Anolis sagrei: one gene and its partner. The protein of the gene in region 1 interacts with the protein of each later gene in a biochemical or structural test. Links are inferred from orthologs where the notes say so. Each region holds a gene or a part of one and is shown in the gene's direction. Other genes may lie near its edges.

Region 1 (7,647 bases):
GGTTGTTAGGTGTCTTGTGTCCAAATTTGGTGTCAATTCGTCCAGTGGTTTTTGAGTTATGTTAATTCCACAAACGAACATTATAATTTTATTTATATAGATTATATGTAGATGATTATTATTATACTTATTATTATTATTATGGCACCAGATCCTACTGACCTTGGAAGCTAAAATGTGTCAACCCTGGTTAGGACTTCCATGGGAGATGATGTTATTATTATTCATATAATCCAACCCATAGGCAATATTTCAGAGTAAAGACCCATCAAAACCATTTCCAAAGGAAACTATTGGGTTTGCCGTACATCAACCACCAACTTGATGGCCCATCCGCACAAACGTTAATTGTAGATTTAAGATCAAAACAGTTGTCCTTGTGGGCCCTTCAAAGGCCTTCTTCCCAACTGATGGCAAGCTGACCAAATGGATGGGATGCAATACCAGATTTTGAATGGAGATGATGCACCTGTAAAGCCGGAGAACTTCTTGGGCGGGTCGGAAGAAGCGGCCGGCGCCTTCTTTGGGGAGGTGATTTGTCCGCCGGGAGAGATCTTGGCCTGCACGACTGCCTTCTTCTTGGGGGTGTTGGAGGCTTTTGAGCTCAGCTCTGCAAAAGAGACCGGTGTCGCATCAATCTCGTTCCCCCCAAACCCTCAATGGCAGTCCAATACAAGCCATTCCCTGCCTATGTATGTATATATGTATGTATCTCTCTCTTAGGGGTTGGACTATGTATCTATCTATGTATCACTCTCTCTTGGAGAGAGTCCCTTCCAAGTCCAGCTACCTATCTATCTATGTATCTATCTATCTATCTCTTGGGTAGACTGGATGACCCTTGGAATCCCTTCCAAGTCTAGCATTCCATCTATATATCTATCCATGTATTTATTTATCTCTTAGGGGTTGGACTGGATGACCTTTGGAGTGCCTTCCAGGTCTAGGATTCTCCTCTCTCCCTCTCTCTCTTAGAGGTTGGACTGGATGACCCTTGGAGATATGTATGTATGTATGTATGTATGTATGTATGTATCCATCCATGTATCTCTCTCTCTTAGGGATGAGACTGGATGACCCTTGGAGTCCCTTCCAAGTCTAGCATTCCATCTATGCATCTATCCATGTATCTATTTATCTCTTAGGGGTTGGACTGGATGACCTTTGGAGTGCCTTTCAGGACTAGGATTCTCCTTCTCTCTCTCTCTCTCTCTTAGGTGTTGGACTGGATGACCCTTGGAGATATGTATGTATGTATCCATCCATGTATCTCTCTCTCTCTTAGGGATGAGACTGGATGACCCTTGGAGTCCCTTCCAAGTCTAGCATTCCATCCATCCATCCACAATTCTACCTAAGTACATACCATTCCCTCTCTCTGTCTTATGAGTCCAGCTGACTGTCCCTGTGGGTCCTCCTTTCCATCCCTGTGGCCCTCTGTTCCTTTTCTGTCCCTCCCTCCCTCGATGTGCTGAGATCCCTCACCCGCGATGTGTTGGTTGATCATCTCCTTCTCGGGCTCCTGCAGCTCCTCCCATCCCTCCAGGTCGGTGAGGTCCTCAATCCGCTTGGTGGTGGCTCGGGCGCGCTCCAGCTTCTCGAAGGCGCACTTGACGTGGTACCACTCCTTCATGTCCCCGCCGGACTCGGAGAAGGGGTTGGGCACCACCTTCCCGATGCGCACCGTGCCCTTCAGCAGCTTCTCCTTGCACTTCTTGCAGCCGGCCGTGCCCCGCTTGGCGTAGTCCACGCAGTAGCGCTGCTCCGCCATCTGGGAAGGAAGGAGAGCCAATCTCCGCAAAGGCTGTGTAAATAGCAATGGGGGGAAAGCGATCCCAGGTTGAGGCGGCCGCCTCGGGAGAAAGATCAGCCTCTGGCTCTGGTTGAAGGCCCTGGTTGTCCGTAGAAGGAGCGCCGAGAGGAGGAACGGCATGCAGCGCCCGGAGCAGAGTGACTAAAATACTCTGAAAAAGAGACACAACAACAACAATAGACCATAATACAATAATAATTCTATCCTTCCTTATGGTAGAAGGGGGTTGGTCCTTCTTCCTATCTATCTGTCCATCCTTTTCTTTCCCTCCCTCCTTTTCCTTCCTTCTTTTTCTCTTCTTTTGCTTTTCTATCTTTTTCTTTCCTTCCTTCCTTCCTTCCTTTTTTTCTTTGTGGCTCTTTCTTTCCTTCTTTCATTCCTTCTCTTTTTCTTTCATTCTTTCTTTCCTGCCTTCTTCTTTTTCTTTGTAGCTCTTTCTTTTCTTCTTTCATTTCCCTCATTTTCCCTCTCTTCTTTCTTTTCTCTTCCCTCCCTTCCCCTTTTTCTTCCCTTCTTTCCCTCATATCTTTTCCCCTTTCCTTCCTTCCCCCTCTCCTTTTTCTCTTCCTTCCTTCCTTTTCTTTTTTTCTTTGTGGCTCTTTCTTTCTTCCATTTTCCTCATAAGCCTTTCCCTCTCTTTTTTCTTTCTCTTCCTTCCTGCCTTCTCTCTTTTCCTTCTCTTTCTCTTTCTTTCCTTGATCGTTCATTCCTTCTCCATCTTTTTCTTTCTTTCCTTCCCTCCTTTCCCAGCTTTTTATTTCATTCCTTTATCCCTTCTTTCATTTCCTTTTTCTTTCATTCATTCACGCTTTCTTTCCTTTCTCCTTCTATTTCTTTGTGGCTCCTTCTTTCCTTTCTCTCTGTCCATTTCTTCCATAAACCTTTTCCCTCTCTTCTTTCTTTCTTTTCTTTTCTCTTCCCTTTCCCCTTTCCCCATCTTTTTCTTTCATTCTTTCTTTCCATCCCTATGTTTTCCTTCCTCCCTTTCTCTTCTTTATTCTTTGTGTCTTTTTCCTTTTCCCCTTTTATTCATAAACCTTTCCTTCTTTCTTTCCTTTCTCTTCCCCTCTCTTCCTTCGTTCCCTTCTTACATCTTCCTTTCTTCCCTTCTTTCATACCCCTTTCCCTTTCTTTAGCGTGTTCCCTCCTTTCCTGACCTCCTTTTCCATCTCTTTCTTTCCTGCCTTCTTCTTTTTCATTGTGGCTCTTTCTTTCCTTCTTTCATTTCCCTCCTAATCCTTTTCCTTCTCTTTTTTCCTTCTTTTCTTTCTCCTTCTTCTTTCTCTTCCTTTCCCCCTCTTCCTTCCTTCTCCCCTTCCTCCCCTTCACACTCCTTCCTCTTTCTTTCTTTCCTTCCTACTTCTTTTTCTTTGTGGCTCTTTCTTTCCTTCATAAACCTTTCTCCCTCTCTTATTTCTTTCCTTTCTCTTTCTTCCACTCTCTTCCTTCCCTCCTTTTTCCTTTCTTTCCTCCTTCCCTTTCCTTCATAGACCTTTCCCTTTTCCCCTTCCTTTTCCTTCCTTTTTTCCACATACCTTCCTTTCTTCCTCTCTCTTGCAATGGTCGCCTAGCAACAGCCAATCCCCTTCCTCCCTTCCGCAGCCATAGAGAAGAAGGAGGAAGAAGAAGAAGGGAGGGAGAAGAAGTTCCTTTTTGTTGCATGAGAGAAAAAAGTAACTTTCCCCTACTTGCATATTTCCATATCCACTTCCTCACCTTTGTTTTCCCTCTTGCAGGACCATTGCTAGGCCTCACCGGAAGTGGCTCCCGCCTCAAAGCCTCGGCTAGGCCTCACCGGAAGTGGCCGATCTAGGACTCCACACGCCTCATGTCCCACACCTAAGCCGCTCTAGGACTCCAAAGGAAAGGGAGGGATACAGAAGAAGAGTGGAAAGAAAGGGAAGTGAGTTTCCTTCCTCACTTCTGGTGGGTATGGCCTCCCCACCGGAAGTGGGCCTTCTTGGGCGCTTCTAGGCGGGGGCGGCTCTATGGGCCCGGCTTCCGGTCCTCCCAATCCTTGACCCCACCCTGGCTTCTTCTTCTCTTCATTAAAGAAGGCTTCTGCTGCTTCTCTTCCTTCTCCTTCTTCCTCTTTAGGTGAGATTAAAGGGGCGTGGCCTCTGGGCTTCCAGGCCACGCCCACTGTGGGAGGGAGGGAGGGGGAAGAGGGAAGGGAGCCATTGATCTTGCCTCCTTCCCTCCCTGCAAGGTAGGACTACTCTGATGACAAGGCCTCCCTTTCTACCCCTATTGATTAGTCCCCTAATTAGTGAGGTTAATGAGTTGGGGCCAATTGGGAAGGAAGGAAGACTGAGCCCCCCCCCTTCTCTCCCTTGCTTTCATTATTATTATAATTAATTATCATAAATTATAATAAAATTATATCATTGATAACATCCATTATAATATAATAGTAATAGGAAGTAAGAAAAGGAATGAAGAGAAAAAAGGAGAGGAGGGAAGGAAGGAAAGGGGAAAACTCCCCCCCCTTCTCTCCTTTGCTTTCATTATATTAATTATCATAAATTATTGTCATGGTTGGTCCTGAAACTCGCTGGAACACCTCAGCAAGCAAGAGTCCAAAAGTGGCAGGCTCAAATCCAGCACCTCAACCAATGGCTGATACCAAATGAGAGACTCCCTCCTGGGCACACAGAGGACTGGGCGACTTGGAAGGCGCTGAACAGACTGCGCTCTGGCACCACGAGATGCAGAGCCAACCTCAAGAAATGGGGCTACAAAGTGGAATCCTTGACATGCGAGTGTGGAGAGGAGCAAACCACAGACCACCTGCTGCAATGCAACCTGAGCCCTGCTACATGCACAATGGAGGACCTTCTTGCAGCAACACCAGAGGCACTCCAAGGGGCCAGATACTGGTCAAAGGACATTTAATCAACTACCAAACTCACAAGTTGTGCATTTTTCTGTTTGTTTGCTTTGTCCTGTTAGAAATGTAATATAATGGACTGGCTGCTCTGACACAACAAATAAATCATAAATTATAATAAAATTATATCATTGATAGCATCCATTATAATATAATAGTCATAGGAAGTAAGAAAAGGAAGGAAGAGAAAAAAGGAGAGGGTGGAAGGAAGGAAAGGGGAAAACTCCCCCCCTTCTCTCCCTTGCTTTCATTATTATTATAATAAATTATAATAAAATTATGTCATTGATAACATCCATTATAATAGTAATAGGAAGTAAGAAAAGAAGAGAAAAAAGAAGGAGAGGAGGGAAGGAAGGAAAGAGAAAAGGAATGAGGGGAAGAATAGGGCTTTTAATTAATAGGCAGGAAATGGAAGAAAAGAAAGAAAGAACGAGCCACAAAGAAAAAAAAAGAAGGGAAAGGAAGTATTAATATTTATTATTATATACTTTTTATTATTATAATTTAATAATATTTATGATTATATTTTTATTATTATTATTATTTATTAATACTGAGCTGCCGAACTTGCTGACTGAAAGTTTGGCAGTTCGAATACGGGGTGTGGGTGAAAATTTAATTATTATTATTAATCTTTATATTATTGTTGTTGTTATTATTATTACAATATTTGGAGAAGAGTGTCCTGTATTTCAGAGGAAGGAGCTGGCAAAAACATTCCTGGCCCAAGAAAACCCCATTATATTCCCTAAATCCCTAAGCAATTTGAAGCTCACAAGATGGGGAATGAATGAGATGAACTTAAACTCTTAACCCAGGAAAGCAAAAGCAGCTGTCACTTTGCTAAAGGCCTAAGTCTCCATCAGATCTTGGATGCTAACCCTTGAATTGGATTATATATTTGGAGTCTACACTGCTGTATTATCCAAAGTGGATCACTTGGATTATATGGCTGTGTCAATTAAGCCTAAGAAAAACCCAGGTGAATTGACAGGTGAATTGACCTGATATCATCTTTTCCTTTCCTTCATGATAGTCTTAGGAAGCCGAAGCCATGACGGATTCCAAGTACTTCACCACCAATAAAAAAGGTGAGATGGGTATAGAGGAATATAATATTATACCATTATTTAATGTAATTATATAATATATTATAATGTAATATAATATATTATAATGTAATATAATATTACTATAATATTATGATGCTATTATTTCATATAATAATAGTATAATGGCATTTCTGACTGGACTGTATTTCCTTTCCCTCCTTCCAAGGGGAGATCTTTGAGCTGAAAGCAGAACTCAACAATGAAAAGAAGGAGAAGCGGAAGGAAGCTGTCAAGAAGGTCATTGCGGCCATGACCGTGGGCAAGGACGTCAGGTACGGAATTATTGTAACATAATAATAATAATAATAATAATAATAATACCATCATCAAACCTTATCTGAATAAAAATTATTATTACATTACTAGCTTGGGTGCCTGGTGTTGCCCAGGTTATTTGAACAAGTCAATTTTTTTAATGGTACGAAATGCATGTGGTTGTGGGTGAACTACAACTCCCATCATGCCAATTTAAACCTGAGAAACTCCCATCAGTGCTTCAAGTTTGTTATGTTGGGCAAATTTGCTCTGGCTACATCATCACTGTGGTTCAGTGTGCTCTCTGACTCCTATAAATCATGTTGAATTCTCCCCAAACATCTCTTGTATGTTCATTATTATGATCAATTCCTGTGTTTGCTGTGTGCCATAGAAAAGAATAGGGAAGGGTTAAGGGAGAGGCAGTGGGCGGGGTCATGCAAATTCCACACCAACGGAGAGAGTAAGAAACACTGCGATGTCTGTGGTGGAGGAAATAAATCAAATCTAGGATGGAATTGTCCCCGAATGAAAACCTTCCCTTGGGTGGTGGGCAAGATGGTGTTGGTGGGAGACATTGGCAGGGCTCCTGGACATGTTTACAGCACTCACTATAACCTGCAATGTCATTGGAGGGAGGGAGGGCCTTTGGTGTCACCTGAGTGGTGGGAGATATAGCTGTTTGTGGAGGCAGGCGCTTTTCTTCCTTCCCTGCATCTCTCTATCTTTCATTCATTCTATCTTTCCCCAGCTCCCTCTTTCCAGATGTGGTCAACTGCATGCAGACAGACAACCTGGAGCTGAAGAAGCTGGTCTACCTGTACCTGATGAACTACGCCAAGAGCCAGCCAGACATGGCCATCATGGCTGTCAACAGCTTCGTCAAGGTCCGGCCCCTAAAACATCATCATGCCTGTATTATTAACCTATGAATTAGGAGGTGCATTGTTGCAACTCAGAGTAAGCTTCACCTTGCTTCCAAACACCACCACACAAGAGCTGTAGTTTTGTAGTTTATTGAGGAAAAAATCCAAGTCAAAATAAAGAACAAGCATTGCAAAGTTCCAAAGATTAAGGTTAAACGCAGAATATAGTTCCAAAAATCTTCAGGTAAAAGCAGGAGACACAATCCTATTGGCAAAGTTCAAACCAGAGTCCCAGGTACAAGCAATAAAACAATTGCCGCAAGAATCACAATGCAAGAAATCCCAAGCGTACTGCTTTCCAGGCTAAGGTTATTCCATGAAGCTTTCAGGCTAGTAGGCTACGTTGAACTGACGCTTTCTCAGGGTTTGCAAGAAGCCTAAATACCTTTCTAACATGAAAACATTAGGCTCTCATCATCATAAAAGCATTGCGATGACCTTTCACCGAGCTGGCTTCTCGTCTGCCGGCCAGACGAGAACTCTGCCTGACCCTCAGATCAAGACAAGCTTGCCGGGTCAAGTCACTATCTACACTTTCGGTATCAGTGTGGGAAGGCACCTGCTTGCTATCTCCTTCGTTAAAATTCCTTTCTGCTGGGAACGGCTGTGTTGACACTGCACTGTCGGTGGGAGCCTCAGAAGCAGGCC
Region 2 (7,647 bases), on another chromosome or scaffold:
TACTGACCTAGGGTGCATTTAACTGTAGAATAGTTTGACACTTTAACTGCTGTGGCTCAATGTCATGGAATCATGGGAGTTGTAGTTTTATAAGTGTTCTGGTGTCTCGTTAAACTACAACTTCCATGATTGCATAGCATTGAGTCTTGGCAGTGAAAGTGGTGTCAAACTGCATTACTTCTACAGTGTAGATGCACCCTTAGTTTCCCAAATCTATACTGTGGAGTTTATCACATGACAGAGGCAAACCAAAGGTGATGGTTCCTATTGCACAATGCTGTAGAAATGCCATTGTGTCTTCTACCTTCCCATTGTTAGAAGTAGTCAATTAACCCACTATACTAATAATATAATATATTGTATAGACATATAATATTTATATTATAATGTAATACAGTATACGAGGGTTGGAACTTTAATAGTGGCAACTATTTGTTTACATTTAATACAAAGTGATACATGTCAACAAGCTTTACAGTCCTGCAGTACAGTTACCAGCATTGTGTACAATCCGTTTCCAACGATGTGGAAGTCGTAGGACACCTGTTGCAGCGCCTGTTCTGTTGATAGTTCGAATGGAGTGGTCTACTGCCACAAGAATTTCTGATCAGTTCTGAAGTGAATGCCATGAAATGGTTCCTTCATCTTAGGAATTAAGTCAAAGCCATAAGGGCTTAAGTCTGGGGAGTATGGTGGATGGTACAGAACTTCCCAGCCCCATTGATCAAGCAAATCAGCCACAGCTTGTGCTGCATGTGGCCAAGCACTGTCATGCAAAATGGTAGGGGCGTTCTGGAGAAAGTGTCACCCCTTTTTTTTCAAAGCTGGTCTGAGATGGTGTTCCAAAAATGAGCAGTAATTCTACGCATTGATGATCTGATGTGGGGGAATGGTATGTGTTGGGATGACACCATCACAGTGGTACATGAGAATCTCCATAACTTTCACATTGCTGGGGTTCTGACAAAATTTCAAACTTTGTGGTGACCCGTAATGACACCATTCGTTCGATTGGCGTTTCAGTTCTGGCTGGTACAATCTGGCCCAAGTCTTATCCAGCGTAATGATATGGCAAAAGAGCCTCTCCTTTGCACTCATAGTGCTTCAAGTGGGTATGAGAAGCATCGTATCGTAGCCATTTCTGCATTTCTATCAAATGATATGGAACCCATCGGGAAGCAATTTTCATGCCCAGACCTTCCTTCAAAAGTAAGTGACAACACTTACTTTAGACCACAAGCTAATACGAGGCTCAGTTCTTCGTGTCACTCTGCATGTGCGTGACATAGGAAGGGTGAGTCTTTTTGCTCAGAGGTAAGGTTGGTATGTAACTAACGTGTGGTATATGTGACATTCTTTGGTTTTGTTGCATGGCATCTTATTAAAGTTCCAACCCTCGTAATACTAATAATACAGTATTATAATTATATATTTTATATTACATGTAATATTACTAATAATATTACAATATAATTATATAGTACAATATAATAATATATCATACTGCTATTGCGCTATGCTAATAATATAATATATTGTATGTATATATACATCTTGTAAGCCGCTCTGAGTCCCCTTCGGGGTGAGAAAAGCAGCATATAAATGTCATAAATAAATATGTATTTGTGGCATTTATGTTCAAAAGGTATCAAGTACAATTTTGAAAATCCGAGTAATATGCGTCAGGACATTGTTGGCTAGGAGTAAAATATAATGTACAGATCAAAACTGCTGGAAATGTATAAAATTTGCCTTTTATAGCAAAAAAGAATATCTCCTCGGCATGTTTTTTTTTAAAAAAATTATTCCTTTGGGAAACAAGCTCCACATAGATGTGTTATTTTGTAAGCATATGTGTGTGTATTTATATGTGCACATGTATATACAGTAGAGTCCCATTTATCCAATGTAAACAGGCTGGCAGAACGTTGGATAAACAAAAATGTTGGATAATAAGGAAGGATTAAGGAAAAGCTTACAAAGGATTTTTGTCTGCTGGAGCTAGGTGTGAATGTTTCAACTGACCACCTTGATTAGCATTTAATGGCTTGGAAGTGCCTGGGGGGAATCTTTTGTTGAGAGGTGAGAGTCCTTTGTCCCACCCTGGTCATTCCACAGGTATATAAACCCATTTTCCTACGTCCAACAGACCTCACTACCTCTGAGGATGCTTGCCATAGATGCAGGCGAAATGTCAGGAGAGAATGCCTCTAGAACATGGCCATATAGCCCGAAAAAACCTACAACAACCCAAAATTGTTCTTCATTTTAATTATTGAATTGTTTTAAGGTGTTTTTTGGCACTACAAATAAGATATGTCCAGGGTGCATAGGGATTCATTCATTTTTTTCTCCAAATTATAATCCGGCCCTCCAACAGTTTGAGGAACTGTGACCTGGCCCTCTGTTTAAACAGTTTGAGGACCCCTGCTCTACTGTATATAAATACAGTAGTCTACTGTATGTTCCGTATCCACAAGTATTTAGGCCTGGTCGCAACGTATTCCAGCTCTCCTTGCGCCAAGGCTCCCCCCACAGCCAAGGCTCCCTTTCCTTTGCCTGCAGGCCAATGAGGCCAAACCACTTTCCAGAGAGAGGGGGGGGAGCGGCTTCCTGTCCTCAATCGGAGGCAAGCAGAGCTCCGAAGCCCTTCCGCCCTCACAGCCTCCCCGCCCAGTAAATGGAACTTCCAACAAGCGACGCTTATTTAAACATGAAACCCCCAGCATGCTTTGCGGGAAAGTTTCGGGGCGGGGCGGGCCTTTGCCACGGAGACAGAGCCCGGGCGGACTACGTTACCCGGCACGCCTTGCGCCGTGCAGCCCTTTCTCTACGGTGGAACACCGAGACAGGCGCCTTGATTGGACGCCCGACGGACTTCAAGCCCCAGCGGCCTTTGCGGCCACGAGCGGCCGGCTTCCGGAAGAAGAACGGTTCCCTCGCTCTCCGTCCACCGTTGGCGAAACTGAGGCGGCGGCGGCGGCCGGACGGGAGGCGCAGTGGGCCTAGGCGGAAGGGACGCTTTCGGCGCCGCCGTGGACACGATGCTCAACATGTGGAAGGTCCGGGAGCTGGTGGACAAGGCGTGAGTATTATGGGGTGCTCGTGGAGGGGGGGGAGGGGGGCAACTCTTCCCACAGCCTCCCCCGCAGCCCCTTTGCCGCCTCAGTCGCCCCTTTCTTCCCTTCTCCATCTTCACCCCAAGGCGGTGGGGTCGCCTTCCTCCTTTTTTCCTCCCTCTGGATGGAGGCAAGGGTGAGGGGTGAGGACTTGCAACCATGGCTCCCAAGCCAACCCTAGGGCTTAACTCCTTCCGCTGTTGGTAGACCTTGCTGAAACTTCCTACACTTCAACCTGCCTGCTGTAACGGATCGCTGTCTAGTTTTTGATCAAGGCCGGGTCTACGCTGTCAAATTGATGCAGTTTGACACCACTTCTGCTGCCTTGGCTCAGTGACATTGCATCCTGGGAGTTGTGGTCTTGTGAGGCACAAAAAGGCCAAAGGCCGTGTAAACGTCAACTCCCAGGATTCCATAGCATTGAGCTGTTAGTGGTGTCAAATTGCATTAATTCTTCAGTGTAGAGGCACCCATGATCATTCAAATATATCACACTATTTTGGTGTCCCTGAACTCCCCATGTTTCCTATGCTCTCTTGGGTCCCTTTCACACAACTAAATAAAATCCCACATTATCTGCTTTGAACTGGGATATAAGGCAGTGTGGACTCAGATAACCCAGCTCAAAGCAGGTATTGTGGGACTTCCTGCCTTGATATAGGGCTGTGTGGAAGGGCCCTTAGTCACTGCATCTGTTAGGGTTCTAGGCCCTTGGATTCTGATGCAGTTGAAGTTTATAAATTAGGGCCTCCGTTTTTTTCCTAAGGGCTTTCTAAGGCTGATCTTTGTATTTCCCCCTCAGTACCTCCCTCTTTTTTACACAACCAATAAAGATCTTAGGACTCTTCCAGACAGGCCCTATATCCCAGGATCTGATCCCAGGTTTTCTGTTTATCCCAGATTATATGGCAATGCAGATGCCAGTTTAATGCAAAACAAACAAACAAACAAAGCAATCAGATCCTGGGATATAGGGCCTGTCTGGAAGGGCCCTTTAGAGCCTGAAATGAGAGAACAAAGTTGGGATGTATCTATGCTGTACAATTAATGTAGTTTGACATCCCTTGAACTTACACAGCTCAATGCTGTGAAATTATCAGAGTTGTCATTTTACAAACTCTTTAGACTTCTTTGCTAAAGAGCAGTGGTGCCACAACCACAACTCCCAGGATTCCATAGCATTGAGTCGTGGCAGTTTAAAGTGGTGTCAAACTGCATTCATTCTACAGTGTAGGTGTGCCCATGGTAACAGAAGACAAGTCTACTTCTTCAGGCCAAACTAAGACAGCTTATGCTACCAACTTCTATATTTTGTCAGTCTGTAAGATGTCACAAGATCACTTTTCATACCAATATTCCAGACTGTCTTTGAATTCTATTGCAGATCTTGCTAGTCACTATTCTCATTTGAAAAAGCAATAGTAGATACTTCAAAAACCCTGGCTTTGAATGTGTGTAATTTTGTGGCTATACCTATACGCAATGCTTTTTGGAAGTGCACAACTTCCTGAATCTCTTGGTGGTGTTTTTTTGGTTTCAGACAATCTTTGGCTGTCTCTTGGCATGTTGGATGGTTTTCTTGTATATTATGGCTAGAAATCCTTGAGACACTGAGAAATTCAACCCTGGCCTTGTGCTTGTATATCCAACACTCCCTTTTCATTGCTGCTGTTCTGTTAAGCCTCTGGTTGAGGAAAGGTAACTTAATACAGGAAGTACAAAAACTTGATATCATCCAGTGGAGGAGGTGCAGTACCTGTCTGTAACAGATACACTTTGAGCGGATTTAATTCTTGTGGATTAACCTTTCTGTTTGTAGCACCGTCATTGTTGCTACCTTAATGGTAGGATTTTCCAGTCAGAAATGTGGGTTGGGCAAAAAGCACAGTCTTGTACCACCCTTGCTTGTGGGCAAGGAGTAGAAGGAAGTCTTTACGCATACACCCTTTACCTGAAACTAAAGATCTTGCATAACCCTGAACTGCTTCCCAGAACACTTTCATGGCAGTGTTTTTCTGGAAAACATTAACTGTGTTCTCAAAATTTCTTTTTAACTTTCATCACCTTCCGCTGTGTCTCATGGAATCCAGCTGAAGCTTCAATAGAATAAGCAAACTTGACATTTAAACCTCTGTGAATAAGTGTGCTGTTTTCCTCCTGAATAAACCTATTTATATTTTACTTTGAAAGCGGAACTCTTAAGTTTTAAAAAGACAAATGTTTGGAGAACAATTGTAAAGCATTTACTGTTGTATGTTGATGCCTTTAGTGGTTAAAGTATTCATTGTGAATATCAAAGTTTAAGAGGCAATATTGTGTTTTGATGTCTTGAAATACCTCTGTGATTGAGGGTTTTATGTACTCCACACTGAAAACAGTTCAAAACCATTGTTGTACTAGAACATGAAATATAGAAACCAAACATTTCTATTAGGTGCCCTTGAGAGGTGGAATGTGAGAAACAATAAACAAAGCATATATATAGGTTGCATTGAAAGTGGCATTATGGGAGTTCTCAGTGACTCTATGAAGTTGGGTCCATGAGGGTAGCAGAGGAGAGGGACAAATCTTTTATGCAAGTAGTGTCTATTATTCTGGTGGACAGGCATTGCAGAGTATAATCTTGTTTTCTAGTTACTTGTGGAAAAATATTATTGACAGAATTCTCAGTTTGGTTTAATACAAATGGTAATATGAGGTAAAGATGTGTAATCATAGACCCGTCGCAAACTAGCCTCCTGCGGGAGCAAACCTTGCCAGCACGTCCCTGACGTCATGAGACTCCGCCTATCGCCCCACCCCATTCTCAGCCTCTTTCTCCGTGCCAGAGTGGTTTTTCCTTTGCTAGGGCAGCATTGCCAGCATACTCTCGTTGTTGGCAGAATTCAACAACGAGAGTACGCTGGCAATGCTGCCCTAGCAAAGGAAAAACCACTCTGGCACGGAGAAAGGGGCAGGGAGAGAGGTGCAGTCTCATGACGTCAGGGACGTGCTGGCAAGGTTTGCTCCTGCAGGAGGCTAGTTTGCGGCGGCTCATAGGTTCATATATTTCGTAAATGAAGGTGCACTCAGAAAAATTAAATCACATTGAGAAAGCTTTCTTCAAAACACTAAAATCAAAATCAAAATTTGTGCCAGTGCTTCATAAGAAGGTTTGTAGAAGACATGTGACTGGATTTGTGGTTAGAAAGCAGAGTCCATGAGTTTCATATTAACACTTGGATTTTAGCTCCAAGGCATCTCATTCCTGCATGACAGAATGGGGTTGGACTGGATGTCTATTGTGGCCTCTTCTAACTGTATGATTCTGTGCATGCAAATTTAAATAAATATTCTAAAATAAAAAAGAAAAATTCAAAACATTTCAACCTGTAGAAATACTTTATGCAGTATTAATACTAGACAAATTTAGTGTTTATTTTAAAAGTGAATTGTGTTCTTAATGTATAAAACTACATACATCAGTCTTGGCTTTGAAGCCTGGCTTATTTTTAGATTGACTTTGACATTGAGACCACTAAGCATTTGGCATTGTACTTGATGTTGTACATTACTAGACTGATAACATAAATGTATCTGTCTACTGTGAGACTGGATAAATAAATAAAAGAAATAGCTTTATTTATATCCCACCCAATCTTCCTGAGGGGACTCGGGGCAGATTGCAGCAACAGAAGGCAAACATTCAATGCCTATACAATAAAAATTACAAATACAAATACATTGACAGACCCACCCAAACCCCCAAATAAACCAATTGATTACAAATTAATTGAGATATGCTGCATTTGTTCAGCTAATTCAACATTATTGGAAAATAGGTTTTTTAAGGTGTTTTGTGTGCAGAAAAAACATCACTAGGCTGGCAACTTGAGCTAAGCTAGTTCTACAAGTAATTAGATGTTCTATCTAGACAGTGTATTGTGAACCCAAAATTTGTTTTGGTTCTCCAAGATTATCAGTATTCTTTGTTTTCAAACCTGTTTAGTATCCACTTGTTCACATACATAACAAAACCTTCCTGGCTAATGAAACGGGGGGGGGGGGGGGGGGGGTTGTCATATCAGGAGCAACTTGAGAAACTGCAAGTTGCTTCTGGTGTCAGAGAATTGGCCGTCTGCGAGGACGTTGCCCAAGGGACACCCAGATGTTTTTGATGGTTTAACATCCTTGTGGGAGGCTTCTTTCATGTCCCCACATAGAGAGCCGGAGCTGACAGACGGATCTCATCTGCGCTCTCCCAGGATTCGAACCTGCGACCTGTCAGTCTTCAGCCCTGCCGGCACAGGGGTTGAACCCATTGCACCACCGGGGGCTCCCAATGAAACTGTTAACTTGGTAGGAGAAGACTGCTGAGTAGTAGTAGTAGTAGTAGTAGTAGTAGTAATAACAATAATAAGTTTTATTTTTTACCTTCTTCTCCTCAAGGCGGGGTACAACATATTTAAACTACATAGATAAAAACATAAGACGGTTAAAACACTTACAATAAGAGACAGAGACCTAAAATTAAAAAACATTAAAATTA

The links. The genes of interacting proteins can lie anywhere in the genome.
Region 2: the proteins of AP2B1 (region 1) and CLINT1 form a complex in vitro, tested with the Homo sapiens proteins (2 studies listed by BioGRID and IntAct, with this or other methods). The link is inferred for Anolis sagrei from reciprocal best matches to the Homo sapiens genes AP2B1 and CLINT1.

What each region holds. Positions count from the first base shown.
Region 1 is NC_090031.1:28,421,365-28,429,011, forward strand, and holds the start of AP2B1 (AP-2 complex subunit beta), read left to right. Parts: upstream 1-3,794; 5' UTR 3,795-3,910; intron 3,911-3,971; exon of another isoform or gene 3,972-4,022; intron 4,023-5,742; 5' UTR 5,743-5,760; coding exon 5,761-5,797; intron 5,798-5,984; coding exon 5,985-6,090; intron 6,091-6,824; coding exon 6,825-6,960; intron 6,961-7,647. UniProt on the Homo sapiens protein: Component of the adaptor protein complex 2 (AP-2). Adaptor protein complexes function in protein transport via transport vesicles in different membrane traffic pathways.
Region 2 is NC_090022.1:80,156,712-80,164,358, forward strand, and holds the start of CLINT1 (clathrin interactor 1), read left to right. Parts: upstream 1-2,854; 5' UTR 2,855-3,044; coding exon 3,045-3,085; intron 3,086-7,647. UniProt on the Homo sapiens protein: Binds to membranes enriched in phosphatidylinositol 4,5-bisphosphate (PtdIns(4,5)P2). May have a role in transport via clathrin-coated vesicles from the trans-Golgi network to endosomes. Stimulates clathrin assembly.